Linked DNA regions of Kluyveromyces lactis. The main gene of each other region encodes a partner of the protein of the gene in region 6 in a complex. Links are inferred from orthologs where the notes say so. Each region holds a gene or a part of one and is shown on either strand. Other genes may lie near its edges.

Evidence for each region.
Region 1: CTI6 (region 6) and ASH1 share a complex: the UniProt entries of both Saccharomyces cerevisiae proteins name them as parts of the RPD3C(L) complex. The link is inferred for Kluyveromyces lactis from reciprocal best matches to the Saccharomyces cerevisiae genes CTI6 and ASH1.
Region 2: CTI6 (region 6) and SDS3 share a complex: the UniProt entries of both Saccharomyces cerevisiae proteins name them as parts of the RPD3C(L) complex. The link is inferred for Kluyveromyces lactis from reciprocal best matches to the Saccharomyces cerevisiae genes CTI6 and SDS3.
Region 3: CTI6 (region 6) and RPD3 share a complex: the UniProt entries of both Saccharomyces cerevisiae proteins name them as parts of the RPD3C(L) complex. The link is inferred for Kluyveromyces lactis from reciprocal best matches to the Saccharomyces cerevisiae genes CTI6 and RPD3.
Region 4: CTI6 (region 6) and SAP30 share a complex: the UniProt entries of both Saccharomyces cerevisiae proteins name them as parts of the RPD3C(L) complex. The link is inferred for Kluyveromyces lactis from reciprocal best matches to the Saccharomyces cerevisiae genes CTI6 and SAP30.
Region 5: CTI6 (region 6) and UME6 share a complex: the UniProt entries of both Saccharomyces cerevisiae proteins name them as parts of the RPD3C(L) complex. The link is inferred for Kluyveromyces lactis from reciprocal best matches to the Saccharomyces cerevisiae genes CTI6 and UME6.
Region 7: CTI6 (region 6) and KLLA0_E19933g share a complex: the UniProt entries of both Saccharomyces cerevisiae proteins name them as parts of the RPD3C(L) complex. The link is inferred for Kluyveromyces lactis from reciprocal best matches to the Saccharomyces cerevisiae genes CTI6 and DOT6.

What each region holds. Positions count from the first base shown.
Region 1 is NC_006038.1:231,477-235,699, reverse strand, and holds ASH1 (DNA-binding transcription repressor ASH1), read right to left. Parts: upstream 2,148-4,223; coding exon 765-2,147; downstream 1-764. Other genes in the region: ornithine decarboxylase SPE1, read right to left, coding at 1-222; MTR2 (Mtr2p), read left to right, coding at 3,290-3,826. UniProt on the Saccharomyces cerevisiae protein: Component of the RPD3C(L) histone deacetylase complex (HDAC). Responsible for the deacetylation of lysine residues on the N-terminal part of the core histones (H2A, H2B, H3 and H4).
Region 2 is NC_006041.1:773,848-777,546, forward strand, and holds SDS3 (Sds3p), read right to left. Parts: upstream 2,198-3,699; coding exon 1,238-2,197; downstream 1-1,237. Other genes in the region: KTR5 (putative mannosyltransferase), read right to left, coding at 1-803; DNA-binding transcription factor CRZ1, read left to right, coding at 3,158-3,699. UniProt on the Saccharomyces cerevisiae protein: Component of the RPD3C(L) histone deacetylase complex (HDAC) responsible for the deacetylation of lysine residues on the N-terminal part of the core histones (H2A, H2B, H3 and H4).
Region 3 is NC_006041.1:185,174-189,215, forward strand, and holds RPD3 (histone deacetylase RPD3), read right to left. Parts: upstream 2,303-4,042; coding exon 1,004-2,302; downstream 1-1,003. Other genes in the region: lumazine synthase RIB4, read right to left, coding at 15-518; PEX6 (AAA family ATPase peroxin 6), read right to left, coding at 2,641-4,042. UniProt on the Saccharomyces cerevisiae protein: Catalytic component of the RPD3 histone deacetylase (HDAC) complexes RPD3C(L) and RPD3C(S) responsible for the deacetylation of lysine residues on the N-terminal part of the core histones (H2A, H2B, H3 and H4).
Region 4 is NC_006041.1:985,520-988,637, forward strand, and holds SAP30 (Sap30p), read right to left. Parts: upstream 1,605-3,118; coding exon 1,104-1,604; downstream 1-1,103. Other genes in the region: CUE1 (Cue1p), read right to left, coding at 3-659; KLLA0_E11243g (putative endodeoxyribonuclease), read right to left, coding at 1,832-2,806. UniProt on the Saccharomyces cerevisiae protein: Component of the RPD3C(L) histone deacetylase complex (HDAC) responsible for the deacetylation of lysine residues on the N-terminal part of the core histones (H2A, H2B, H3 and H4).
Region 5 is NC_006042.1:1,922,371-1,927,557, reverse strand, and holds UME6 (DNA-binding transcriptional regulator UME6), read right to left. Parts: upstream 3,411-5,187; coding exon 1,047-3,410; downstream 1-1,046. Other genes in the region: EBS1 (Ebs1p), read left to right, coding at 1-499; KLLA0_F20658g (uncharacterized protein), read right to left, coding at 4,459-5,187. UniProt on the Saccharomyces cerevisiae protein: Component of the RPD3C(L) histone deacetylase complex (HDAC) responsible for the deacetylation of lysine residues on the N-terminal part of the core histones (H2A, H2B, H3 and H4).
Region 6 is NC_006041.1:1,669,041-1,673,011, reverse strand, and holds CTI6 (Cti6p), read right to left. Parts: upstream 2,090-3,971; coding exon 749-2,089; downstream 1-748. Other genes in the region: VPS45 (Vps45p), read left to right, coding at 1-671; APM3 (Apm3p), read right to left, coding at 2,416-3,909. UniProt on the Saccharomyces cerevisiae protein: Component of the RPD3C(L) histone deacetylase complex (HDAC). Responsible for the deacetylation of lysine residues on the N-terminal part of the core histones (H2A, H2B, H3 and H4).
Region 7 is NC_006041.1:1,773,374-1,777,760, forward strand, and holds KLLA0_E19933g (SANT/Myb-like DNA-binding domain-containing protein), read right to left. Parts: upstream 2,913-4,387; coding exon 1,161-2,912; downstream 1-1,160. Other genes in the region: SAS3 (histone acetyltransferase), read left to right, coding at 1-603; KLLA0_E19955g (3'-5'-exodeoxyribonuclease), read left to right, coding at 3,844-4,387. UniProt on the Saccharomyces cerevisiae protein: Component of the RPD3 histone deacetylase complex RPD3C(L) responsible for the deacetylation of lysine residues on the N-terminal part of the core histones (H2A, H2B, H3 and H4).

The DNA.
Region 1 (4,223 bases), on a different chromosome or scaffold from region 6:
CCCTAAATCACAAACGAAGAATGAATTTTCATCTCCGGCATCGCAAGTCTCATGATTTATAGAATCAATCTTCTCTTTCAAAGCAGCAAAGATTTTATGATGGCTCTGTTGGTGTGGTAACTGGCCTTGTTTACTTAATGGCAATCCCACAGTTGGGTTATATGAGACGCCCTGTGTGACATCATTAGATATTGGCCGCTCTATGTGTCCTACGGAGTTCATGACTGTCTGTATTGATGAGGTGCTTAGGCTGTACTTTCTCAGATATTAAAGCAAAACGAAAGCAAGTGATGAGATATTGACGGTTCCAGTTATTTATATTTTTGATGAAGTTTTTTTTTTTTTTTTTTTTTTTTTTTTTCATTTTCAGATAGCGAACATACATCGATCTTGACGTAAATGGCATATTAATGAAAAGAAAGAAAAAATCATTCACTTTATGAAGAGGTCTGAAGCAGCTACTAAGTGCCAGTCATCAATATCAACCTATGATATTGATGCTCAAAGATCAGAAGTGTGAAAATATTAATTTACGCTACATTAGATAAATTATAGGAAGAATATATGTTTAGATTATATCATTATATTAATCAAATTAGTTAGAATTGAAGGGAAAGGGAATAGTGGAAATATTATCCGGACAAACAAGGGAAAAGAGAAGTAAGTATTTATAAATGCAATATTAGAAGGTAAAAAGCTCCGTTGAAAGTTGGGATCAGTTAATTATGCAAGGAAGGTTGGTTTTTTTATCAGGCTTTTCTGCCCTATTCGTCAGTAGCAACGGCGTGACCGCAGAACAAACATGCTATTTTGTAATCAGTATTTCCGTCAGCGTCCTCAATCGAAACTGGCTTGTTTGATTTCATAAGTGTCAATTCACCTTTTGAAGGTATTTTACGGCAAGTTTCATTGGTGCATCTTGTATGGGTCTTCTTATAACGGAGCCCACAAGAATTACAAAGCTGATCTTGTTTGCTTTTAGACCAAGAAGGTCTCCAACACGGGGAATCTGTAATGTGACATGAAACGCAAAATCTATGAGAGTTACGCCTTTGTGTTGGAGAGCTTTTGGGAGATGTTTGGACTAGCTCTTGGTCGGTGTCGTCTTCTGAGTTGGAGTTCGCCGAAGTCTTTTCGCCGAAATCCTCCACGCTGTTGATCACAATAGGATGAAATCTCTGTTGGGGAGATTGAAGAGATTTTGGAGTTGTGGATAGTGTAATCTTCTTTTGTGGAGGGGTCTTTGGTGGTGCAGGATTAGCCTTAAATACCGACTTTTGTGATTCGAATTTGTCTTCATATGTAAGCAATATGCGTTGATCCAGCATCTTCTTCAGTTTTCTTGCTTTAAAACTGTTGGTCTTCTTATGTTTTGAGGAACGGTTCTTCTTTACCGCTTTAACTAATGATTCGCTGATCATAGAAGTGAATTGTCTGGGAGGACTACTTGGTGGGGTTACCAGTACTTTGCTGGAGCTTGAAGTGTTTGAAAGTTGATAGAATTCATCTGGTGAAGTATTGATCGATGATATTCTAGCAGCATCGGCTAAAATATTTAATCCATGAGTAAAATTACCAGCTCTTGGATTAGCTTGAGATACCTGATCTGTAATGTTTTGGTACTGAGTGTAATTAGTTTCCTTACACCACTCTGTTAAGTTTTGCCTCCATAGAGGCGTGGAGGCACAAGTGTCTGGATAGAGGTACGAAAACTCTTGTATTTTAGGATGTGCCAATAACTTTAGATGCTTTAATGGTTGTAGTGCTGGTTGCGAGGGTTGCGCAACCTCATTCTGTAGTTGTGAACAGGAAGGCAGTTGAGTTGATTTTCCAATATTGTTACTGCTGTTGCTGCTAATGCTGCTTCCCTCACATACTGTCTGTCTCCATATGGAAGAATTAGATGAAGCGGACACTGGTGATGTAGTAGGCGTGATTTGTACGAATCCAGAAGGTGAGGCTGGCGCCGTTTTAGATTTTTTCCGGGCGTCAAAGAAATATGGCGATTCTTCTAATGTCATTGGGGCGTTCAAACTGGTACTTAAAGATGGCAATAATAGATCATCAAAGGATCTTTTTCTTCTTGCGTAGAACTTTTGCTCGGCGTGAGGATTGGTGAATGGTAAAGGGTTCGAAATAGTGGACATCGTTAGCTTGAATAGTGAAAAGGTCGAAGCGATGGGAAATGAGCTGATTCGATGCTCTATAATGGGGAACAAGTTACGGTGTTAATTGAAGTAAATTATTGATGTGTAACACAGTTGTCAGGACCAGTGTTTGAAGAGTGAAGAAATATATCAGGCCTTATAAGGATTAGCTAGAACTGTCATATATCAACCACGATACCTAATTCAGTAAAAATAAGGGGATTATCTTTCCAATCGATCTGAAAGAATTGTCCCATGGAAACCCAGATTTGGATTCTGGTTTATATACTCTAGGGATACTGAACCAATTTCAATCAGTTCAGTCCCGCAAACTTAGTAGGAATCCATATATCGATGAAACAGAAAAAAGTGTAAACAAAGAATACCTGCGCCAAACCCGCAGAGGGTTTACCGAATTTTTTTCGATTTGGCAAAAGAATTCATACTTGTTCTATGCCTGCAAAACTAAAGGGAAAGACAAAAGATATACTTCTTTTTCTCTTACCGGCTATAAAATTGATCAAAACTAGTCAACCATTGTTTACAAAATCATATATCATGTAATGGAATCGCGCAGCGATGTTCACTTAGCTTTCAGATCTCTGTTTATGTTTATTTTTCCACACCAAGTCTTGGTATCTGTTCGGCTGGTATTATGGATTTACATTTCGATGCTGGGTTTTTCATGTTTACACTTTCTTCACATATGCAAGCAGAAAATAGAATTTAAAAAAAAAAGAATACTAGTGCGCGAGGCAGCTTGACAAAAGTGCTGGCAAAAGAGACATAAGGAAAAGAAAAATCCGACTCTACAATATGTACGCTAGATATTTGCTCGAGTCGATCAGCATTTAGAGTTGTGTTTGCATGTGTTCATTTGAGAGATTTTGAAATCAGGGTCTACCTAAAATCATCAAGGAAATTACAACGCGTACATATATTGTTTGTTACCCGCATTTGATGAAGCTAGTCAATTGAATTTACCCAAGATGAAATTTGGAGAGAAGAAGACTTCTTTCCATAGATTTAATAATAAAATTTTTGATCGATGTTGAAATTAATAGTATTAAGGTAAACGTTATCAAAGCCTTCAATAAAAATCAGCAAATCTCTTTAAAGCATCATCAACTGATATTATCAAAATGAATCGTCAACCTCAAATCGTGGAGACTTTTGTGAAGAAAGTACTGGCTCATCTAGATGAGCCCGATCCAGCAAAGTTGGAACAATTCCTACAGCTATTTAACCCACATCAGTGCAAAATAATATTCAATTCCCAACCGTTTGGACAGGCAGTGCAATTCCTTCAGGCATGGCAAACTGGAGTGGTACTGACGCAGCACGTTATCACCGCGGTTGATTTCCATGTGATACCAGGTACCGGAACCTTACTATGCAATGTGAACTGTAAAGTTAGATTTGACGAAAGTGGGAAGGATAAGAACGGCCAGGATAGCACAGTTCCAGCAAATAGTCAGGATTCACAGTCCCGCCCAGGTCAGGGATCGATTAATAGTAGATCACTGGATAAACCAAGACCTATATGGGGTACCTACTATGGTGTCTCATTACAGCTAGTGCTTGAAGATCGGATTTTCACTAACGACTTGAACGGAGTGATATCTAGCATGAACTACACAATAGTATTCAAACCATCAGATTCTTTGATGAGCATATAAGTGCTAGTTGTAGGTAGCATATAGAAATGTGTATGTCCATATATATGTTCTATCAAAATATTGAAGTGTGCATTTTAGCAGTGTTGAGAGGCCCAAGGAACTACGGAATATTCTGATCACGTGTATGATCATGTTTTTCTGGTTTTCCTTTCGAAGTTCTTCCGTCGTATATGCACGACCAGGAAACACCGGTGTGAAACGTTTTTGTTGAGTTCGGACCTTAATATGGTCAAAAAGATGTGAAGATCATATCACGCGTTGGGATTTTAATGGTGTACAATCGGAATCTTGCAAAGAGTGAAATAGAAATTTAAGCTATATTTTTTTTGTTGGGTATTCGAACCTTGTCCGTGACAGATGCATGAATCTGCTGCATATTTTCTAAGGCCACCTGACT
Region 2 (3,699 bases), about 900 kb from region 6:
AGTAAAACGTTTCTATTCTTAATAAAGGCTTTCCACAGTGATCCGAGTTTGATATCGTTTTGCTTGATGAAACTTCTGGTTGCTCTAAATAAGTTCGGCACAGTCCAATATATTTCTTTGATAAAAATTGTGAAACCGTATTTCTTTCCTGCCTTCTTCATTTCAAAGAATGGATCATAAGTTAGATCACAGAAGAATTCCACATCTGGTTCAATACGCCAGTACCACTCGTATTGCCTAACTGCAGGGTGTTTATAGAAGAGTCCGGAATAAAATCTGCACATCTTATGGTATGAAACCATATTCCCATACATAATTCCACGATCACCCTGGGATTCAACGTAATGCTGAAATAGTGGAGTGTTCTCCTTAGGGAAATTCCATGAGGACTCATCTACAAGGGCAAACGTTATGTTGGCAGTTGTTAATGATCGGACTCTTTCTTGAAATTCATCAGTGAATGGTTCGTTGTTCATAAAAACGTACGGATATTGGAACCATTGATTGAATCTTCTTTCCACAGATCTCATAGTGTGAATTACCCCATCCAGCTCCTCGTTTCTTGTTAACATCACAAATGTGGCATTCTGTCGTTCATATTTTTTGTGATTTAGATATTCTGCAGTATCCACACACCCTTCAAAGAAGGGATGTTCCTTCTTAGAGGCGCGATCCGCTGAGGAGTAGACTACAGCATCTTCCCATATTGCAGCTTCTTCCGTTCGCACAATATGGTGTACACCAACACAAATTAGAAGTGCAATTGTTATCACTATCAGTAGCTTTCTGGTTCTATTCCTCATGAGATAAGATGGAAACTATCAGTAATCATGCAAAAAAAAGTGGAAAAGATGAATGTGTACGTCCCAATAGTTGAAGATGAAAGAATGAGGTTTTATACTAATATTCTTGGTACTTTAATCGACTGTTGAGTTTATGTTTATAAATGGATCGCGTATTGCGCATAAATCATCGTCAATAGATAACTGAAATATCAAAATTCAGATTCTGTTCACTTTTTTGTGCATACATTAAAAAATACGCAGTATTATAAAGTAGTAGTATTACACATGAGATACACTAAAAATACAAGGTATAAGACTGACAATAACGGATAGTATTTGGGACCTAAGCAGTTTGGGAAATATTGGATGACAGAAAAAAAAAACTGGTAACATTTTAGTTTCTTCACTTGTACCCCAGACCAGATTTACAAGATAAATCCAACTATTGATATTCATTTGAATGGGGCTGGTACTTGGCCCGTTAGCTTTCTTATCAAAGATATATCATCAGTAACCTCATCCGGAGTTAAAGATTGAAGAATAGGAGCGCTTTTTGTCGAAAGTCTTTGGTGACCTCGACCCATCTTCTTTTCCTTTTCCTTTTCCTTTCCGAACAATAAAGCCTGTAATTCTGATGAATCGCTCAGATATTGCATCGACTCTGCATCGCTATTAGTATTGCTTGATTTCCCGCTTCCGTTTGCAGGTGTAATGTTTGCAGGAGTTTGAGCTCTATTCTGATTAGTAGCAGCACGCCTACGCAATGACCTCCTATCGGTAGTATTACCAGTCTCATTGCCACTTTCTGTTTGGCTGACATCGTTCGGTGACGAATCCCAAGCCGAAAAATTGGCTGAATTTTGAGTTGAGCTTCTAGTCTGCTTCTGGAATTTCCCTCGAGAATAATCCATCGAATAAGACTGTGTGTTTGCTACATCCAGAAGTAGCCGTTCCTCTTGCAATTTCTTGATAGTTTTCTGTAGGGATTCATACAACATCTCTTTGCACAATTTGATCATCCTTTCATGTTCTTGCTTGGCTTTTTCAATATCTTCTTGGAACTCTACTTTGGACCTGTAAATCCGGTACTCTTCGAAAAGCCTGAGCCTAACTAATTCCAAATCCCTATCTTCTTCAAGATCCCTCAATTTCCTCAGAAATTCAGGGTTATTCCCCTGATGCAGCGTCGTTAAATCTGTCTGTAACAGAGTCAACCTATCCCTATAATGCACATCTTTATCCTTTGCAAACGACGTTCTTATCTTTCCCACTTTCCCTTCAAACTGTAATCGCTTCTTATCCTTCCTACTCAAATCCTGCCCAACACCTGCGGGAATAGCACCCCCATTCTGTTTCGCTCCTTGACCTTTCTTCACACCGCTGCTCATCATAGAATATTGTACTTCATCCATGTTCCTCGGGGGGAGAAGCTGTATTTACTGCAAAAGCTGATATAATTGTTAAAGTGAAACCAGAAAAACTCTCCGGTATCGTTTCTTACCAATTATCCTGTGAAATTACTAACACAGAATAAAAAATTACAATTGAAAACGTTAACACAACGAGTTAATGTGCTGCTCGTTACATGTATCGTGCAACGTATGAGCTGGGTACAAATTATGTACAAATTATGTATAAAGTATGTACAAAGTACAACTGCTTAAGCTGCTCTGATTTAAAAAAAAAAAAAAAAAAATAATAATAATCAAATGAGACAAACAAGAAAATGCCATGCTTCTGCCGTTCGAACCTCAATGCTCCCATAACACTGATTTATTCATTGCAAGTATCACCATTTTCTTTTTTAAATTTTTTATGTTCCGTTTTCCATCTCATTTCCCCGCAGAAAAGTCGCAGCTTCAGATAAGAAAAGCTTAAAGCTGGCCGGTATAAGTGCAGGCTTTAAGTGTGTTGAAAGTTTTTAAAGGCTTTGAACTTTTGGCAATTTTGGTAAAGAAAAGGGAAAATTCCCAAAAAAAAAAAAAGTAAGTTAAGTTATAATATAATGACGATGTGATTTTTTTTTTGTTAGGTGAATAGAAGTGAAATAGTGAGACTAATTCAGAGATAAAACAGTGGTACGCAGCCTGTGATACACATCAGTGTTGTGTGTTATTAGTACAGATAAATCGCTGAATTTTGCGGTGCTTTGAACTACCCCTAATATTCTAATACTTTAAATTTCGACGTTATAAGTGTGTCGATTTTATAAAGCTCTTCTTTTCAGTCTTTCCAGTTCATAGGAAAGAAAGAACAGAGAACAGAGTTTTCGAAAAACATATTGGTTTCCCCTTTGGATATAATATTACCTGACTTTGAGACTTGTATTCCGAGTTGTTTTTGTTGTTTTTTTTTTTGACTGAGAGAACAGTATGGATATTGACGATTATTTGAATGTCGATAGTCCCAGTGACATCGGTGCGAATGTACTGTTAAATCCGGAAGATTCTGACAATTCTCGAGGGTCGAAGGTTGCGCCTGGTTTCAATGCGATGAATAATAGTAGGAAATGTGGTGTCAAGCTGTCTGACTTCGGTGGTGATATACTGTCAGGTTTTAAGGAGTTTGGGTTCAGTGTCGCGAATTCCTTTTCGAAAGAAACTGGTGATAATAACAAAAACGCACCTTCAATCCCTAGTCTTAGTATAAATGGTGTCCTGGCTCACGATATGCTTAATCGCAGTGTGAAAAGTAACGCCCAGCTTCAGCAGCCACCTAGCGTCAACCGTAACAACGGTAGAAATGCTAATAAATATGTGTCACATGAATTGAATATACCAAACACAGATCCATCTTTTTTGTTCCCTGCCTTGTCCACTAATGAGACTGACAATTTGGATACTGTGTCGTCGGCATCTAACTCACCATATATTTACCCATCAGATGCAATCTCACCAAGTACTGGGTACCTTGC
Region 3 (4,042 bases), about 1.5 Mb from region 6:
ATAATACTGCATTTCTAGTTATAACCAAACTTTACAGCCATTTCTACGGCAGCAGCGCCCCAATCTTCACCATGGTTGTGCATAGTCTTTCCTTCATCGATTCCAGCCCTTGCCAACGCTTGCTCTTCAGTCAAGCAAGTTAATAAACCGAAAATGACTGGTGTGTTCAATTTACTAGAAAGACTCATAATAGCATTGGTAGTAGAGTCTGAGATGTACTCAAAATGCATCGTACTGCCTTTGATCAAGACACCGATAGGGATAACAGCATCTAAACGATGACCTTTTTCAAATTCTTTTTGAACAAACCTTTCAACGCCCCATGGTAGTTCAAAAGAACCTGGAACGGATTCAAGAATAATGTTTTCTTCCTTAACACCTAAGGACTGAAGTCTCTTAATGGCACCTTCTACCAAAGCATCGATAATTGTTCTGTTCCAACGAGCGTAAACGATACCAATTCTCAAGTTAGAACCATCATAAACTTGATCCAATTGACCCAAACCTTTAACAGCCATTGCAAAATTTACTAACTGTGATTTGAATGTTTAGATACAACGTATCTACTATCAGATAATATATATCTCTATATGAAATAGGATAAGCTTTATTCTTGTGTAATCGACCTATCTGATCTTAACTTTTAAATATCCATTCGCTTCTGGATTTTCATTTTTTGATCTTTTTCATATATAGATTTGTTACTGACAACCGAAGTGCAGATGTAAGTCATATCTGAACTGGAATAGTATTACGTGGAAAATTATGGCAAATACCGATACTGACGGAGGGAAAACACGATAGAAAATTGACCTCATTAGATCAATTCTAACTTGGGCACCAATCTGTATATTCAGCATCATATTAACCGTCGGATGAATGACATATAACAGTGATTAGGTGAGTGACGATAAAACCTGTAGCAAATGCGGAAGAGTACTTCTAAGTGTAAATATATTATAATACAGTAAATAATAAAAGATCATCTGTTTTTGTTTTCTGGCTAAAATTCGGTTGCATTCTCAATGGTTATGTCTCTTGCATACTGAGAACCTCCTCTAGTGTCCTTCGCAGCTGCAGTATCTTCTTCGGCGTCACCTTTGTCCTCCGCATCGCGAGGAACGTGATTGAGTTGAACGCTTGGGGCATATTTAGTATGCTCTAGATTGCTGAAAATATTAAGTAGCACTTTATCCAAATACTCCGGTGTATTGACGTTATACATATTAGATGGTCTGACATCCAATTTGTAATCAGGGCCATAATATTCGTAGTAATCGTTGTAAGGAAGTTCTTCATCCAAAATCACATTATTCAGAATACCCGTTTCGAAAGCCCATGTACGAGCCACGTTTCGCATTGTATAACCACCACCACCAACAATCATGAGAGGAACACCGAACGATTTCATGTAGTTGACACAGTTTGCGTGACCCTTCATTGAAAGGTTGAAACAACCTAAACGATCGCCGGATAAAGAGTCACCACCGCATTGGAGTACCACGGCAGAAGGTTGGTACCATTCCATAATTTTACCTATGACTGGTTCAAATACCGATTTGTAAGTGGCATCGTCAATACCGTCCCTTAATGGGACATTCACAGCATAGTATTTACCTTTCCCGACACCAGTATCTCTCAATTCACCAGTACCTGGGAAGAATTCCCCATATTTATGGAAAGAACATGTCATAACTCGATCCGTAGTATAAAAAGCTTCTTCTACACCATCACCGTGATGCACATCAATATCAATATAAAGAACACGAGGATGGTACCTTAACAACTCGATGATACCTAGCACTATATCGTTCAAGTAACAGAACCCTGAAGCTTCCGATTTTTTGGCATGATGTAAACCACCAGCATAGTTAATGGCAACATCACATTTGCCTCGGTTTAATCTGGCTGCACCCTCCATAGAACCACCTCCAGATATACTACAGTACTCGTACAAACCATCAAACACAGGACAATCGTCTCCAACGTTGAATTTCACACTCTCCTTTTGGAACATATCTAAATTATCTGGAGTGACTCGAGACAAGAAATCAATATATTCATCGGTATGGAACTGACACATCTCCTGTTTCGTTGCAGGTTTAGCCCTGTAAATTTCCATCTTCTTATACAAACCGTAATTCATAATCAACGAATGTGTCATTCTTATTCTATGTGGTTTCATAGGATGTCCTGCACCATAAGCATAGTTTCCCACATCAGCATCATAAAAGTATGCAACTCGCTTCTTCTCGTTAGCCTTCACCGTTATCGGGTCAAAAGGTTTAGCTTCGTATACCATACCGTCCACGCACAATTAATCTTAATAGTTTCGCTAAGTTGGAGAGCCGGTACAAATTTTTCACCTCTTGTTTATATAGCTTTCTTGGTATGTTTTCGACATAAATCAAGGTTTTAATAGAAATCACTACCTTCATTTTTCACCGTCTCCATCAATATAGAATTTCCAAGCAGCTAAAGAAAGAAGAAAAGCCTTAAAGAGATCTGTCATGTTACACGAGTTGAAGAAGATTAAGAAGTAGACCAACTTTTTACTGACCAGATCATCCTGCATGGATGAGTTAATATATTTGTTATATATGATTTATAATAATATTCGATATGATTACTTATTAACGATCATTGAGATTCGAAACTACTCTTTAATCTCAAGTAATGTCTTAATTCATCCTCAGAAACACTTGGTATTAGATTCTGTTGAGCAAGCTCGAAGTCTTGTAATTTTACCACGACCTTCAAGTCATTCTCGTTTGCCACGTTATCAAACCAATACCTCAATGATATATTCTTTTTATTTTCCATGTTATACTTCTCCCACTTTTCATCAACTTCACCAGCAACTCTAGTCATAGCGTTTAAAAGGGCATCAGAACACAATGCGTAGAAATCTGCACCTGTATAGTTGAACGGACATTTTTTGGCAATATCTAGTATATCGATACCAGATTCTAGTGTGAACTTTCTCGTCAAAGCCTTGATGATATTTGCCTGTTTTTTATCGGTATCTGATATCCCCAAATATAACATCTTGTCAAACCTACCGGGACGTAATAATGCTTCATCAAGAAGATCTGGCCTATTCGTAGCTCCAATTACGAACACTCCGTCTCCTCCTGAACTCATTCCGTCTAGTTCTGCCAAAAGTTGAGACACAATACGATCCATAACACCCCCAGAATCTCCCTGATTTCCTCTCTTTGGTGCCACGGAATCAAGTTCATCGAAAAAAATGACACATGGCTTAGCATCTCTTGCTTTCTGGAAGACACGTCTAACATTTGCCTCGGATTCACCAATGTACATGTTAAGAAGTTCAGGCCCTTTAACACTGAAAAAATTTAAAGAGAAGTTAGACGCAATTGCCTTCGCTAACAAGGTTTTACCAGTCCCAGGAGGTCCATAGAAAAGAATACCACTTCTCTTTTTCATACCAGATGAAAATAGTTCAGGGTGCTTGAGTGGCATATCTATGGTATCCATGATTTCTCCTTTGACCACATCCATCCCACCAATATCATCCCAAGTCACGTTAGGAATTTTAGGAGCTCCGATAGAGTCTGAGAATCTATCTCTTGCAATATTTATGACTGCAGTTATATCGGTCATATCAATTAGAAGGTCGTTCTGCTTTAGACGTTGGTAACATTTGTACTTGACAGCTTTGACGATTGATCGTATATCCATTGGAGTCAAACCAGCCGATTGAACAGATACTGTCTGCAATGGAACATTATGCGATATTAGTGACCTCAGTTTTGGAGTTTGGCTGTTCAAAACATACGGGTCAAAATACCATCGAAACATTTGTAACCTTTGCTTTTCAGTTGGCACTGGTACATCAATTTCAAATTTTATTCTGGACCTAACTATAGCAGGTATGTTGTCAATGTCATTGGTAGACCCCACGAAAACTGTTCCTTTATATTTTGTGGTGTATTCTTCTATTAAGTCTGCCATTTCGACATTCATTTGACGAGCCATTTTGGAGCTTGTATTATCCTGTTGATTTTGTTCATCCTCC
Region 4 (3,118 bases), about 680 kb from region 6:
TATCATTTCAGTAGAGACTGTAGGTATTCACTGTTTTCCACCTTTAGTTCCATACTCTTTCTTGCCTGCCATACCATTAATCTCTTTCTTTCTTCTATGGAAAGATCGTTGGGATTCAAGTTTGAAAGATCTTCTTGTGGATCCACGTTGAATTTTTTTAGCAGATTGTCAGCTTTAATGTTGGATCTTTTCCGTGGATCTGTAGATGTGCTATTGTTGTTTGTATTGTTTCCTGTAGTTACAGAGCTTCCGGTCGATTGATTTTGACCATTGGAAGAATTGCCACCTGTTTCAGATTCTGGGACGTAATCTGGTGGGAATGGCATATCTCTACCCGAGAGATATCTTTCTACAGTAGTTTCAACTGATCCGGTTTGTTCCAAGTCGTATCTGATCTGTTCTGGATGTAGATGTGGAGCCAAGGATTGTACCACTTCGATCATATCATCGTTGACTCTACGACGAATACGCCTTCTAGTCTGTCTTGAAGCGGCATTACTTGACGCGGCGGTACCTGAAGCCGTGGCAGAGTCTGATTGCGAAGAAAAACCATTGATTTGGATGGATGGATGTTGTTCGTTATTGCTCAAAAACCATTTCACAGCAATATAACCGGCAATAGCCAAAATGATAAATAATGTGAAACTTTGATCCGCCATGATTAAAGTTTTAATTCAGATACTCTATCTAACACAATAATTTCTGTCTGCTCTCAATATATTGCTGTGATATTAATTATTCTGGAGACAGGAAAACACAGTATGCCTGGTTATGGAGCAAATACTTGTCTTGTTACAGTTTTTACTTGTGAATGATAATTAATATCATTCATTTCTTATTAAAGAGAAAAATTGTGTAAACGACCTGTAAAGGAAAAAAATGTTAAAGAGCAGAAGGACGTGTGTACAGCTTGCTGTGCAATCTGTCCTTTTCACTGCAGTGCATATAATCAGCGTATAGAACGCTAGTTCCAAATAGATTTCCGTTGATATCCTTGATTATTACGTTCTATATTATTCATATATGTTACAAATAGATGAAGCCATTAGGCTGATGTCGAATTACATGCCCAAGATGGAAGTGAGCTATGCAACACCACCGCTTCATCCCTTAAACTCCATTCTGAACTTCTTTTTCTGATTTTGTACTTTGTAAATAAACTGAGGAAGGCATTCCGCTTCTCGAACGGTATAGTTATCGAAGTGTTCCCTGACACCTTTCGCAAGCTCCTGCTTCGTAACCCTTGCATCTGGTACATTTTTCTGGTTTCGTTTCGCCGAGTAAGTATGTTTCCCAATCCTTGATCCTAGAAGGTACCCTTGTATTGATAGATTATCTGGAGATTTCAATTGGAACCTATCCTTATACCGCCTTAAAAATTCATCGGAGTATTGTTCGAAATCCATCGGATTTGGGAGCGGCTCATTCTTCGGATGATTGTTATGTATATGTTTCTTGTTCAAGTCCTTCAAGTATTGCTGTTGAGCACTCGAGAGTCTTTGTTTCACACTGGTCCTGGTCGATGCACCTGAAGTTGCATTGTTCGATGATTTGCCCTTAGATTCGGACTCTGAATTTGAGTTATTGTGTCCCCTTGGTGCCATGTCGTGTAAGATCCTTGTGACTGTACAGCACCCACTCTATTTGACACCTGAGATGGTATGGAGCAGTACATGGTAATGCCCTTTACCACCTGGACAAATGTTCAAAAAGATCAAAATTTTGTACTTAAGACACTTTTTTTTCTTAGATAAGTGGGAATAACTTGGAATTAGATATAGAGGATGACTACATTAAACAAAGAACATACATGCAGTCCCTGCGTCTCATCTCATTTACGTAAGAATCTATTGAAGTTTTGTAATACCGTGTCCATCGCCTTAGTCCTGGAAATGCCGTGAGCTCTTGAAATGGCGTCAAGAACGGAATCTAGCATCTGTCGTTGCTCTTGCGACGACACTGAATCCACAGAACAATCTGTCTCTGTCAAAATACACTGCAAGGGCAAACTCTTCAACAGCTCAGCACCAGAATCCCAGTCTTTCAAGTTGATCCAACACGAAACGCTAAAGAAAAGCCGTTCATGTGGGAAATTCGCCAGCCATAGCCGCACCGTATCCAATGTCCCAGTAAACGAGTGCAAACATATGTTCACCTCGCTATCCAATAATATTCTCTTGCAAATATCAAAAGTAGTACCTTGACATTTCACAGAATGGATCGAAACCGGCAACCCCCTTCCCTTTGCAACTTTTAATAACGTTTCAAATACCTGGATCTGATGTGCAAACTCTACCCTTACATTGCTTAAACTACTTCTTTCCAACGATGTCCCATTATTGCTCACGAGAAAGCCATTCTGAGGCAACCGAAAAACCTTGTCCAATCCGATCTCGCCAATACAACCCACACGAGAAACCCGCTCATCTGACAAGTAACTTGACAAATCTACTGGATCCGGCAATTGCTCTACCAATTCCATCAACTGTACCTCGTCTTTACATTTAAGACAATTCCTATAATGCCCTACCTTAGAAAGCGACCTATCTAACTGATATAAATGGCAATACCAGGGATGCACACCAAGACTAACATTGATTCCGGGACCTTCATCATCCAGTTGTTTCATTAGCAGCAGGGGCTCCAGTAATTCCCAGTCGTACACATTCGTGCTCATGACACACCGTTGGACATCACTTGCCGTTCCGGCAAGGGCCAGGTCCAAATTGCTTCTGATCTTATCGCATCCTACAGCATCCACCATAGTAGACACATGGCAATGTGCATCGACAAGACATGGAACCATTCTTGCCCCACAAAACCAAGCCCAATTACCACTCACCTGATAGCAGACTGGAACCCTAATTCCATAGCAATTGCCTTAATTGTCCCAATTCACCAATATGTTCCAAAGGTATACTTTTTGAATCACCTGGGACTCTTTCTATCGGAAAATCATGGAAATTGAGTTGCCGGAAAAACTATTGTTTTGGGGGCTCCCACAACCCCGTTTTCGGGCTGCCCCCAAAAAAAATTCCCAGATTTGCCTTTAAACATGTTTTCAACATCGGATTTCGCAAAGACTGAACCTTAAAAAGCAGACCAACTTATGTCCTGT
Region 5 (5,187 bases), on a different chromosome or scaffold from region 6:
CTCTGTTTCATCTCCTTTTTCATCTATCCATGTTCAAAGTTCGTCCTCTTCGATACCACTGTCTTCCACTAACACCAATGGCAGTTCTACTGATTCCAGAGAAAATAGTAACGGCCTTAATGAAGCTCCTAAACTTAATGTCCAGAATCTGTCCACTTTCAACTATTTACAGAACGCTTCGCATGATTCTCAAATAAGTATATTTGCCAGGGACAGTGTTGTTATGTCATCCCAGGCGAACAACTCCGCTGGTCTGTACGAACAAGCTCAACAGAGAACATATATGGGCTCCCAATATGCCCAATTCCATAATCCATTCACTTCGTTCTCACCACAATTTGACAACTTGCAAAATCAAGAAAACCATCCTCAGAATTCAACTAATATCAGAAGGGACTCTCAATTCTTTCCCAATAACAATGTCTCCATTGCAGGGGATCGTTTGCCTTCAATGGCTGAAAAGGCTGATGATCAATTCAACTTTTTCTTTTATTCATAGCGCAAAATAATAGTTCTCGGATTGAAAAATGTGTTTACCTTTCATGTACTGAAGTGATTCACATATAATTATTTTTAACGCCTTGTTTTTCTCTATTCCTTAGTTACTGAAACGACACTTTTTTAAATTTTATCTTAATTATTCCAAATTTTGGTTGTAATGTATGTGTCTATATTTTGTATGTTCTTTTATTTTATCTTATTTTATTTTGTTGATCCTCATATCATCTCAATCCTCCTTTGAAAGCAGCATAAAGTTTAAATATTGAACTACGTTGTCTTTTGAAATCATTTCCATACTATTCCCTAAGCTTTGTGCTTAAAATACGTACAATTCATACATTGTATATTAAAGTCAGTCTACACATTTATTACAGCAAATATATCTGAGTATATTATATATTGGGAGGTGAACATAATCATAAAAGTTCAGTCAAAAATGGTATCTATAGAGTTTTGAGGGGTTGTCCATTATTGTAAAAAAACTGAGAACACCTGATGATACAGATGTGTGTCTGAGAAGAATTTAGAGATGATTGTCTCTTTGATTATAACCAAGTCTTCTTTTTCATTGCTTGTCTCTTAGCTTCTTTTGTTTTCTTTTTAATTTCTTCGAGTTTTGCTGCCTTTTTAGCAGGATCTGAAATAAAATCGGGTTTTACTATGTCGTAAAAGCATTCGAGGTGCAACCTCACGCAGTTCTGGCATTGCGGTTTCTCTTCTGTACATTTCTTCTTACGCAATCTACAGATCCAGCAGCCAGTTCTTGACCGTGCCCCCGTAGCATTTCTTTTCTTTATTTGATCACTTGATTTGACCATTTGCTCGTTAGAAACATCATTATTGTAATTAGATTCTTTAAACTTCAGTTGTTTGGCATGTTTGGAATTCGGTGACAATAATCCAGTGTGTTCAGTAGATAATGATGAAGACCTTGATCTTTTTATATGCATACCATTTTCCGAGATATCCGCAGCGGGGTATGCCGTAGTATCTGGATGGTCTCCAATCTCATTTTTAATTCCTGTCAATTGAGATTGATAATGTGGTGGGCCTGATCTTCTTCTGGACAATCTTCTTTTTCCATTCTTATTCCATGCAACAGTTTCTGGTGCCTTTGATCCCCCTTCGGTCATTTCGTAATCACCATCGCCATACCCGTCATCATCATCATCCTCTTCTTCCATTATAACGAGTTCATCCTGGTTGCCAGTCAATGGTCGTTGGTTAACCCGAAGCACTGGCTTAGGTAAAAGTCTTTTGGAGAACGGATTAAAGGCATTATTTTGGAGAGATTGGTTTGATAATGACGAATTCGGTCGGCTATCATGATTGCCAGAGCCGAACTGTTCGTTAAATGGGGGTAATGGGGAAGACCTCATCTGAGAAATGATTGCGGCAGCTTCCGCATCCACGTTGGAATCTTGATCATTCAAAGTTGGGTTGACCATTGTGCTATTATATGGATACTTGTTAGCCGACTCTACTTTCGGAAAAGCGTTTGAGGATCCTAATAACACTCTATTCCTTAACTCATCGAATTTTGTGTTGAAATACTTCGGTTGGTAGGTAATATGTGTATTATTGTTATTACTGTTTGCTGTGCTACCGTTATTACTGCCACTACTATTACTGCCACTACTAGAATTACTGAAAGGACCATGAACCTGATCGGTTTCGAACATATAGGTTGGAGAAACAATTCTATTCATGGTAGATGAGACCTGCGGGTTTTGATTTTGATATTTTGGATGTAGGAAGGATCCTGTGGAGTGAGGAGGATTTGACGCTGCTGAGGATGGGAAATGAATAGTGTATTCATTTCCTGCCGTAGATGGAGGGGGCGAGATTGATTCTGCTGTCGATCTCGAGTTTAGTAATGAAGTAATATTGATCTTTTGAGCTGAAATTGATGAGATGCCTGCACCCGGATCTATTTTCTCTGTGGAACAATCAAAATGTAGTCTTTTTGGAGTCATGGCGCTTCCTGTGGCATGCAGATCTCTATCACGGGAAGCGCTCGAGGTCTCAAGGATCGGCGAAGATGAAGGCGCAGCAATACCGCTCGCACCGTCATGTGAAACAGTTCCAGGATTACCAATGTTTCTGCCATTGCCCTTTTTGCCTTCGAGTCTATGTCCGCTTTGTCGCAGCATGCGTTCATTTTGATGACTACCAGTATCAGCTTGAATTTCCTCGCCCTTTCTTGAATCGTGAAGTGTTTCTGTTTCACTCACTTGACCAGAGTCTATCCTATCGTTGAACAAATACACGGGAGTGCGCGAGTCTTGATATAAGGTGCTACTCCCTTTCCCAGTGTTCGGCAGCGTATTGCTACTGGATATACAGATAGATGGTGTACGCGTATTTATTTTTGGAACATGTTGTTTATCAGCCGAAACCACGTGATCAAAGTCTTGGGTACCCGTTTTTTTCTCAAATTTCACGGCAACCTCCTTTTCCTCTTGCTTAGTCTCTCCGTAACGAGGAAGTGGCGGCAAAACCTCGGTTTGAGGCTTTGTCCCTGGAATCCCGGAAGGCTCTCCACGTGAAGGAGAGATAACACCCTGTTGTAGATCGTTTTCCTCCACAGGCGTATTATTCGGAGCAGCAGTAGGAGACATCGCTAAATGTATCAAGGGGTTGAGCCTTGGTGTATGTCGCAGCAGCGTTTGTTTTTCACCTGTTTTCACTCGTTGTTGTTTTTCGTTTTCTTGTTTTTCATCAATTTTGGTCACTTCCCGCTGGGCGGTTAGCTCCACTTGGGCGGCGTTTGTTTTTGAATGTTCGTCAGGGTAACTTGGCGGGGTACTTTTCTCCGGCACATGCATTTTGGAAGATAACGGAGAAGAGGAGGATAAACGAACAGAGTTCACAGCACGCCGCTCAATTTGACTTTTCTGACGAACCATCTATTCCGAAGGTTCTTTTATATTTGAAGAAAACTTCAGTCTAAGTTTCAGGCCAGCGCTTAGCGCCAAGAGTTTGTGTTACTCTTGAGTTAAAAAAAAACCGATTCTCTCCTCACCCCCTTATAAGACTCTTGAAACTAAACACAATCAGGTATTAAGCCAGGAGCTACGGAATGAGCGGGTTCGTAATTAGTAAGAGAGATTGAACCAGAAGCCTGTCAATTCATAGAGGATCGCGGTTTCAATGAATGTAAGCATTCATAAAGAATAAAAAAATAAAGTAGAGTATATTACAATAAACTAAAACAAGTAAGAGAAATCAAACATTTGTAAAATTCGATTTATATAAATAAATAAACAACGCCTTGGATGTGATTTTCGAACGAGATTCAATTAGGCGTTTTTTTGCCTTTTTTTGAGCGAAAAACTACAGGAAAACAAGCGCAGAAAACGAATCAGAAGGGAGAAAAGGGAAGAAAAAAGGGAACGGCAATGGTACTAGCCATCTAAGCAAGCTCATTGACCTTGCTTTGCTTCTCGGTTTTTTGTTTTTAGTAGGATATCTGAAGTTTGTAAGGTGCACTGCTGTTATACAGTAGCTGATTACATATGTAGCCCGCTAAGATGGTGGGTTTCTTTAATTACCCGTGGGAATAATTTTTGACTGTTTTTGACTTTTCTTATCCATTGGGCGTATCGCTTGACGAAAATTGTCTTGAAACTATTTTACACGCTGGAAAGGGAGAAAAAGATTTGAAAAGAGTAAAGACCATGTATTACCCGGTCATAATCAGTTGTTCCGGCTTAGTAACTTTTGGGCCCAAAGTCTTAATCGATTCAGGCCAAATATAAAGAGTTTTGACGGGAAACTAGAGTAAAATCGATCTAAAGTGAGATAAACTACTTTTGTTAATGTAGTATGGTATTTATAAAAATTAAATTATTGATGATACTTATCATATGGATTTGCTAATATACATTTGTTCCAGATAAGTTGTAGATTAAAAATAATTAAAAAGCACCGCTTATTCCTGCATCTTTTCAACTTTCAGATAGTCTTCTCGTCGTTGTGAAAAGTATTCATTCTGGAGAAGGAAGTAGTGTATTGTTCGAACGGATCGTGCACTGCTCTCTTTTCTAAATCATTTTCTGGATTGTCGACTCTGTCCTTGATGCCGAAGTAATGTCTCTTACCATATTTGTATAATTCAACGCCTGCCCAGAATGCGAAACTAAATCCGATTGCGAATCCCCATTCGTAACTGATATTGTAATGTAAGAACACTTTGTCGTTGATTACTGGGATATAAACCACTGGGAACACGGAACAGAACCCACCAACAATGGACCAAAACAAGAATTGATTGCTCCAGATGTCCTTGAACACTTGAGTGTATGGTGTTTCACTTTCAGGGTTCATCATGAAGAATGATCTTCTCATGTCGACAACTTCCCAGGCTAAAATCAATGCACACCAAGTCATTGTTGCAAATGCTGCAGCACGGCCTCTGAAAACCAAGTGACACGTTTCACCAAGTGCATCGTTACAGTCAGAACCCAAGTTACCATCACCGGTACCATAGAGCACGGTAACGAAACATGCCATACAACATGCTGCCATGATGACACCGTATACAAGCATATCAATAATGACTTCCCAGGTGAAAACAACAGCCTTGGCATCCTTTGGTGGCTTTTCCATAACGTCAACACTGGCCTTCTCTAAACCAAGACCCATAGCTGGGAAACATGAGGTAACGACAATAATCCACAACAC
Region 6 (3,971 bases):
TACAACTGAAGAATATATGGGAAGTCAGTGAGCTAGAGCAAAACCTCTCTTCACATGATGACAATAACGATGACTTTGTAGAACTGAAGAGAATTCTAAACTTACCAACCTTAGAATCATATTACAAATTAAAATTATGCTGCATTTTTGTTCTACGACACGGCAAGAACGAATCTAGAGTTTCTGAGTTGGAGAATATTCTAAGACAACAGTGTGATCCCACACAAATTTCTCTTTACTTTCAATTTAAACAGAGATTTGGGTCAATATTCAATAAACACAAAGCTCCTCAGGACAATGATTTGATTAGTGGATTAACCAAGAAATTCAACAGATTAGGCAGCACCAGCGCTGAAAATGTGTTTATGCAACATGTTCCTGAATTGACAACACTTCTCAGCGATTTGGATAAAAACAAGTTCCCACAAGAGGGAGTGACTCTTTTAAACCAAAATATTGACCCTAAGACATATATGCCACAAGATGTTGTTATATTGATCGTCGGAGGCCTCACTATAGAAGAAGCGCGCGCAGTACATCAATTCAATGAGAAACAGAGTAAAAATAAGGACAATTGCAGAGTTATCATTGGAGGAACCTCGATTATTTCTACAGAGCAATTTTTAACAGATGTTTGCGCCGTTAATGATAAACCAGTTGACTTATTATGAACTTACGTATGTACTTCAGATGTAGAATTAGGTAAGGAAATGTATGAAACAAGAAAAGAACACTCTCTATCATGCTTTTAAGAAGCTGGACTAAACTTTTGCTCCCAAAGCAGTAATTTCCTCGTTAGCTCATCCATCGTTTTGAAGGATTCGTCGTAACTGGAGAATATTTTATTAATATTTTCCAGGAATTCTTCGTTTTCCACAAACTGGCACAACTGATCCCGTTGACGTTGGTCATTAGATATTTCTAACTGTGTCCTTGAGATAAATTCCAGAATAGCGTTAACTCTTCTTCTCATTTCATGCATAGTGGTCCTCTGAGAGGGAATCCTGGGTTTTAGAGGCTTGTTGATTCCGATATCATTAGATTGTCCATTAGATTTCGACAAGTTTGAACTTCCAGAGGAACCCGATCCTTTTGAGCTGCTAGCTTTAGAATTCCTTGCAACTCTTCCACTTGAGGTCTTGTAAATCCTTGAGTTACTTTGCGTGGTTGAACCATTGCTCTTACCTCTTCTTGATCTTTTTGATTTGGAGTCATCTTCGGAACCTGATGGCGATGTAGATTTTGTTGTCGTTCTAGCTCGTTTTCTTGATTGACTAGCTGCTTCATCAGCTTCAGATCCTTCCACTTCTGGAGATTCCGTATCTCTAGTGTAATTCTTTGGTGAGGCGGACTTCCCTGATGCCTCTTCTTCCTTCAAAATATCTTGGTCTTCGGGATCGGTGCCATCTTTTGAAGAGCGTCTGCTTTCGCGTAGGGCTTTCTCTAGCATAAGTTGATAATGTTTCTCTTCCCTGGCACTGGATGTAGCACGTTTACGATCTGCAACCTTTTGATTTTCATCAATTGGATCAAACTCGCGCTTGGGAATATTTTCATCCTTATCTTCACCATTTCCGGAGTCCGCAATAGAATCTTCACCTTCATCCTTCGATAATTCAACATTACTACTATTTCTCCTTTGCCGAGATAATCTTTGAGATCCAATATTTCCACTAACCACTGAGCTAGAAGGAGATTGGTTCTCTAGTGAACTTCCAGCGTTTGATACTTCTCCATCCGATTCGGAGTTTCTTTTCGACCTTCTATTTTTCCTACGGCGTTGCTGAATTGGCTTGTATATTGACCTCTTCTCACCAAGATCCGTTGTGTAGAGCGAGTGTAGCTCTGGTTTACACTGCTCGCACCAATACTTATCCGGAGTTTCCTCCTCAGATATGCCCACACAATATCCATGTTGCCAAACATGGCATTGTTCACATTGAATATAAAGACCCGAATCATCTGGCGGTTCAATTTTCCCACAAATACACCGAGTCTCACCTTCATCCTCAGGCTCTGGATCAGAGTCCTCTACATACTTCTCTGGTGCAAGGTCCGTCCTTCCACGGTCCCTCGTTTCTCGCTTCATTGCTATGATTCAAGATCCCCTCTTCTCGATTATTCGTCAAATATCAGCTGCAAATCGCCCAAATTAACCGCTCTATGTCGAGATCAGTAAAAATGGCACTATAGAACAGCCCTGAAACTTCTGGAATTCACTCTTGCCCTCCGCATTGCATACATAGAAACTTTAAAACATCTGTTATCCAAGGTGGCTCTACTTATTCCTTTTAAGTCTTTAATCAGTTGGAACACTTTTTCCTCGTTCGAAAAGTACATAAAACAAAAATATCACGTGATCCAAACACATACATAAATACATACATACATATATATAAACCATTTAACGTATCATCACCTATACTCTAGCGAACCAGTCTTTGTGAGGTACTTAACACCTTTGAACGGTTTTTTTGGACCTCCATTAACTACGTCGATTGATTGAAGTTTGATTCCGGAGGGAAGCTGGGATTTGTGTTCGTAGTAACATTTGATGAAACTAGGTTGTAGTAAGGATGTTAAGTGTGAACTAGGTGGTTGAACAACCGAAGATCTACTAGATGTTTGGTCATTGGAGGCGAGTTCGGGTTCCAGTTCCGCTATACAACGTAGTACAGCCATTGAACCGCATACCATGTTTTTGTCCAAATGCCAATTAACTTCGCCACGAGTCATATTTGTTTCGACACCGCCGTGAGTGTTTCTCATGACACGTACTATTCCCTTAAAATTTCTATTCATCCTGATAGTCATGCTCATGTTTTCTATTTCTTTCACCGTCGTGCTCATTCCAACGGTGACGCGGACCTCAAATTCGTCAAGTCTTTTACCTAAACTGCTTTGTAAATTTACGTCTATAATGCCGAGGTTTGAGTCTCTTTTCACCAACGGTAGGGTATATTGACAGAGCCTAGTACGTCCATCAGGAGGTACAAACGTTAGCTTAGTGAATTTCCCAGCGATTAAATCATTTATGCTGTTCGCCTTATCCTCTAAGATGCATCTATGGAAAGTCGTGTTTAAGTGGCTAAGCTTGTGGTCTAAGAGCCCAAGTTTCATCTCAACCAATGGCTGTCCGCTGAGATGGTTGTTTAAGTCGATACAACCCTTGATATGTCCGGTTAACAGTTTCCCCTTTTCCACAATAGCGTTAATTTCCTCACTCATATCGATGAATATTTCGTTATTAGCATAGTTGATGCCGCTCATTCTCCATGGGACACCAGATTCATCAACGGAATGATCAACTAACGAGGAGCCAGGAGACCCAACGTGGAACGAGGAAACGGATGAAGCGGATGAAGATGGATATCTACTGCCACTAAACCTTGATTTTTCCGGACCATTCTTAAACATTGACCCGTCCGGTTGTTGTAAGGTCTTGGTAATTGTATTGGTTGTCGTCTTCAACAATTTCGATAAATCGTTTCTACTTGGGACCATTGCCTTTAAACGGTTCGAGTCTGTTATCACCGGTTGCCCAGCATCAAGGATACAATGGAAAAGCATCGATAATCGATCGAGGTTATTATTTATCTTCTGCTTCGTTAATTGGTCCTTATCGAAATATTGTAACAACAGTAAATCTATCTCTTCTAACAAAGATACCACGGAAACTGTGGACTCTGAACACGAAATTAAACACCAATAAACAACTGGATTCAGCAAAGAAACGTGTCTGCAAAGCTTCAACTCAGAATTTATCTCATTGCAGTATTTAGACTCCCATGATTCGTCTTTACCTTGTAGTTTAACAACTAGTTGCCGAAAAGTAGGGCACTCTGCTACTGTTGAGTACTGGAATAGCGTTTCCTGGCACCTATCATTGACATATATGCTAACAATCATTGTAGCCAATTGCTTAAGTTCACTATGATAACCAACTATATGCGGATAACCCGCTGTATCCT
Region 7 (4,387 bases), about 100 kb from region 6:
ACGTCTGCCGCTGGTTCAACAGCTGCTGATCCATTCAAACAAAGTATATCTGTTCTAACGAATTTTATGAGTGACGATTTGGCGGATCCAAGAACGATGGAAGAAGCTGCAATGGAAAAGATTAAGCAACAAACTATTCCTGTATCCTTGTCTGATAAATCTTTAGTTCGAGCATATACACTTCCAAGCAATATCAAGGAAAAAATCATTAAGGCAAGCAAAATAAAACCTGAATTCAAACAACTCAATACGAAGCTCGGGGGGACTATTCCAGCTCTCAATGAAGGTACACCTTCTGGCGATGCTTCTGATGCCAAAACACTGATCAGCGGAGGTATGCACGATGATATAAATGGCGATGAGCAAGAAATTGAGGAAGAGTTTGAAGAGGCAGACGGTTTAGAAGATGAAGGTTTCTCGCTAGATGATGCAGAAGCTGAGGAGTATTCAGATGATGATGAAGATGATGATCAAGTGCCACCGCCTCCAGAGGAAATAGCGACTCCTAGGGTCAGTAGATCTCTAAGAAAACTCAGACAGCACAATCCCGTAGAAAATGAAGTTCAGCAAAGACCACAGAGAGTCTTACGGAATAGAGTTTGAATATTAATTAAAGGATAACCTAATCATAGTAATGCGTGGCCATGACATGTGTTTATGAGAAGAAAACTGATAATAGTGTAATATCTAATATATGCATGTATATATGTATATGATTGTAAGAATAGCGAAAATTAATGCCATCATTGATATAGCAGTAAAATGTAAATAACAAAACAACGTAATAGTACGCACTTTTCATTTAAGTGTTTATGCAAAAGGAGCAGCCCGTGTCCCTTTGCTATAATAAACTGAATAGGGACATTATTATGACAAAAAATAACCATATGGTACAGTTCAAATGATTTGGCATAAAGATAACACTGTAACAGTATTATTGATGTTCTATTGTAGTTATAGTACTTGTACAATGGGGTCATAATCAGGAAAGTGTGTGCGTTTATGTGATAGTAAATCAACGACAATGATGATTGAAGTAGCAGCGACTGGCGCCACGATACACTTCGGGGTTCATGTTCATACATGTCTGAAAGTGGTTTGTAAAGTAGTTTTTTAAGTTTTTGGTTCTTGATAATGGTATTAATACAGACAGTTTATCATCAAACAATGTGCTTGAATATCGTATTCAAACTAGGCAGTGGCTGAGTTGGCACTTGCGGTAGTCGATGGTTTTGTGGTGGTTGAGGAGATTGCGATGAATTCGGAGTGAACTGGGGCGTTTGTTCATTACTAGCCTGTGTTTGAAGAATTTGCTTCGGTACGCTGGCAGGCATCCTATTGCCATAAAAAGATGAGTTGTTCACATCAGAAATAGTTGGAGAATGGTCTCTCAAGGAATGAGCGTCCGGTGAAAACACTGGCGATCTCTCACGAGCGGAAGAACCAGTCGAAGATGTTTGAGAAAACGTAGGAGATTCATCTCTTAGCTGAGTTGGGGCAATAGAGTCTTCCATGCGGCCAACAATCTCTACATCAACATCAACATCGTCAATGTCGTCATGCTCCTCTACGGCAGTATCTGGTGAGTAAGTAGAGTGGACCTCATCTGAAGAACTCGATTGATTAACATTGGCGGAAGGACTAGCAGTACTAACTGCATCGCTAGGCGTTATATGTAACGAATCCATTCTCCATTGGATCTCTTGTTCTGATCTATGAGGTAACAAGATTGAAAGCTCATCAATGGACAAGTGGTACCTTTGACGTTTTTCTACCAACAACTTATCCTCATCGCCAGACCAAGGTTTTGCAAAGCCATTGAATGATCCAACGGCACATACGGATGAAGGAGGGGGTTGAGAGCTTTGTTTTATGGGCATATCAATGAAACCTGCTTGCATAGACTCACGTCTAAACTGAGAGACAGAGTTCCTTCTAGACATAGATGGATTCGTCGTGAAGCTTTCTCTCCTTGGATTCGCGGAAGATGCGGGCAAAGTTGATGAAGGCATGACAACAACGGAAGATCTTCTAGAAGATCCGTTAGAAGACATTGGGATGAAATGCCTGTCGGATGCTACGTTGAAAGAGGAACGTCTGGAGCGCGAGGAGAAGGAATTTTTCCTTGATTTCGTACTGGCCAGGTTTGGCAAGTTCGATTGTGGAGTGTTATTCACAACGACCGCGGAACCACGTCTACTCTTGATGAAGACTTTTGGAATAAAACCAAAATTTTCCTCTTGATCATTGAAATGGGGCATATTTGGTGGGGCGTCCTGTGAATGAGAGGAAGACCTGGGCTTTATAAATTTCCCATGAGGAGCAGGAGAAGCAGTAGAGAACGGAGACTTGGACAACGATCCGGAATGTGCAAGTCCGTTTACCGATAGGACACTAGATCCAGCTGTAGCAGCAGATGACGAAAAAACACCCATGTTGCTATTGTTATTATTAGTAGCACTCCCACTACCATTCAACCCATGAGGTGACGAAAGAACGGCACTATTGGTAACTTTTGAGGTCGGAATTGGCATGGGCATGGGCATCGGTCCCGTAGAACTAGACTTCTTTGCCGTATTCTTCTTCGCCGTCGAAGAGGACCCAGTGTTTAAAGATTCCGCGCTCAACGTAGGTCCTGCAGAAACAGCCATTGGAGCAAGTACTGGAACAGTCACATTTAACAACTCATCCTCCTCCTCATCCTCCTCCTCTGGCGACTTCACCGTCTTTAAACTGCCAGATTTTAACCTTCTCCACCGAAATTGGCACGCGTTAGGAGTTCTATTCGTAAAATACTGAGCAATATCCTTCCATCCCAGTCTTTTCACCTCTTTCAAGTGTCGCAACAAGACATCGTCCTGAGGTTCCCACGAACTCGGAGTCCTACTGGAAACGTTTTTTGGTGCAGTCATCTACCCTTTCACTTAAAAATATTGTGAGTTATAATTGTAAAGTATCAGCAACCAAAACAAAATCCACTATTTAGAGCAGTAAAACCAAAATTCAGCTCAAAAATTTTCGAAATGTAATCAAAACGACAGTAACAGCTTTCTAATAGCTCTAATTCTCTAGCTCAAAGACCTGTTCTCATTAACACAACGAGAGGGAATAAAAATTTTGAACGGTCCAAAATAAAACCGACAGTAGTTTATGAACGATTTTTCTTTTTAAACAACAAAAAATCGCCTTAAATTCCTTCCAAAATCGGCTAACAATAAACTAACGTATTGACAGTTATGCTCTGAGTCGATATCACTGAGGTCAGACTGAGTACTGAACCAATAAAGACAGGTTTCTGCCTAGGAAACAAAGAGTGTCAAGTTAAATGACAAGACTCGATGAGGTCGAGTTTAGTGGCTTTTTCTTCGTCGCGATGAGTTGGAAAAAAAAAAAATTTCGAATTTTTTCAGTGTGACAGCGATGAGATGAGGTGACAGGTGAGATGAGAAGAGATGAGATGTGATGTGAGTATACTGAGTGAGGGTCCTGTATCTTACCGTTCACGTGTCTTTTTTTGTTTTTTTCGTCTGTGTACTTCTTGCAAATGGGGTTCCCCGGTTGGTTTGGGACTGGTGCGTTAGTCTACGCCTTCGGAAAGCTATTGCAGTAGTGTGTAGAATGTGTCAAAATAAGCTTATGGGAGGTAGGGGGATGCACTCCGGGAGGTGATAAGTGCGTTGGTAGGCCATTGGATAGGCTTCGGAAGATACCCATTACACGATATTTTTGGACATCGTGTGGCATGTACGGTCTGTGAATGTTTCCATGCGGACTTGAGTCACAGAGTGGAGCTTAACCTTACATCCGGGTAACACTCGAAAATTCTGTACAAGCCATCTCACGATGCGCAAGAGGATATGCAACTCATCCCACTTCAGAACGATAAAAGGACTTCCTGTTTGTTTGGCATATTTTCGGTTCATTATGGCCATTGTATATCACTGTGAAACAGCTTCTACACTGTATATGTCCAGAGCACTTCAGAAGATGACAGGTTTGAAACAGATAAGGTACTTTGACATTGGGTTCAATATCTCTGATCACATGTTCAAAGGGAAATACCATGGCAAGAAGCAGCACGAGACGGATTTATCCAATATATTGAACCGTTGTAGATTGACTAATGTGGATAAGCTGCTGATTACCGGATCTTCACTGGAAGAATCGAGACATTCCATTAAGCTTTGTAGTGAATTTGCAACTGAAAATGGACCAAAGATGATGTACACCATCGGGGTGCATCCGTGTCAGGTTAACGAATTCATGCCCAAACACTCAAAATCGTACCGGAAATCAGATTCAAGCGAGGATCTTCCGTTTGCAATTGAAAACCATCAGTTTACCAAAGCTAGATTGCACGAATTGTATGATTTGTGGAAACTCCAAG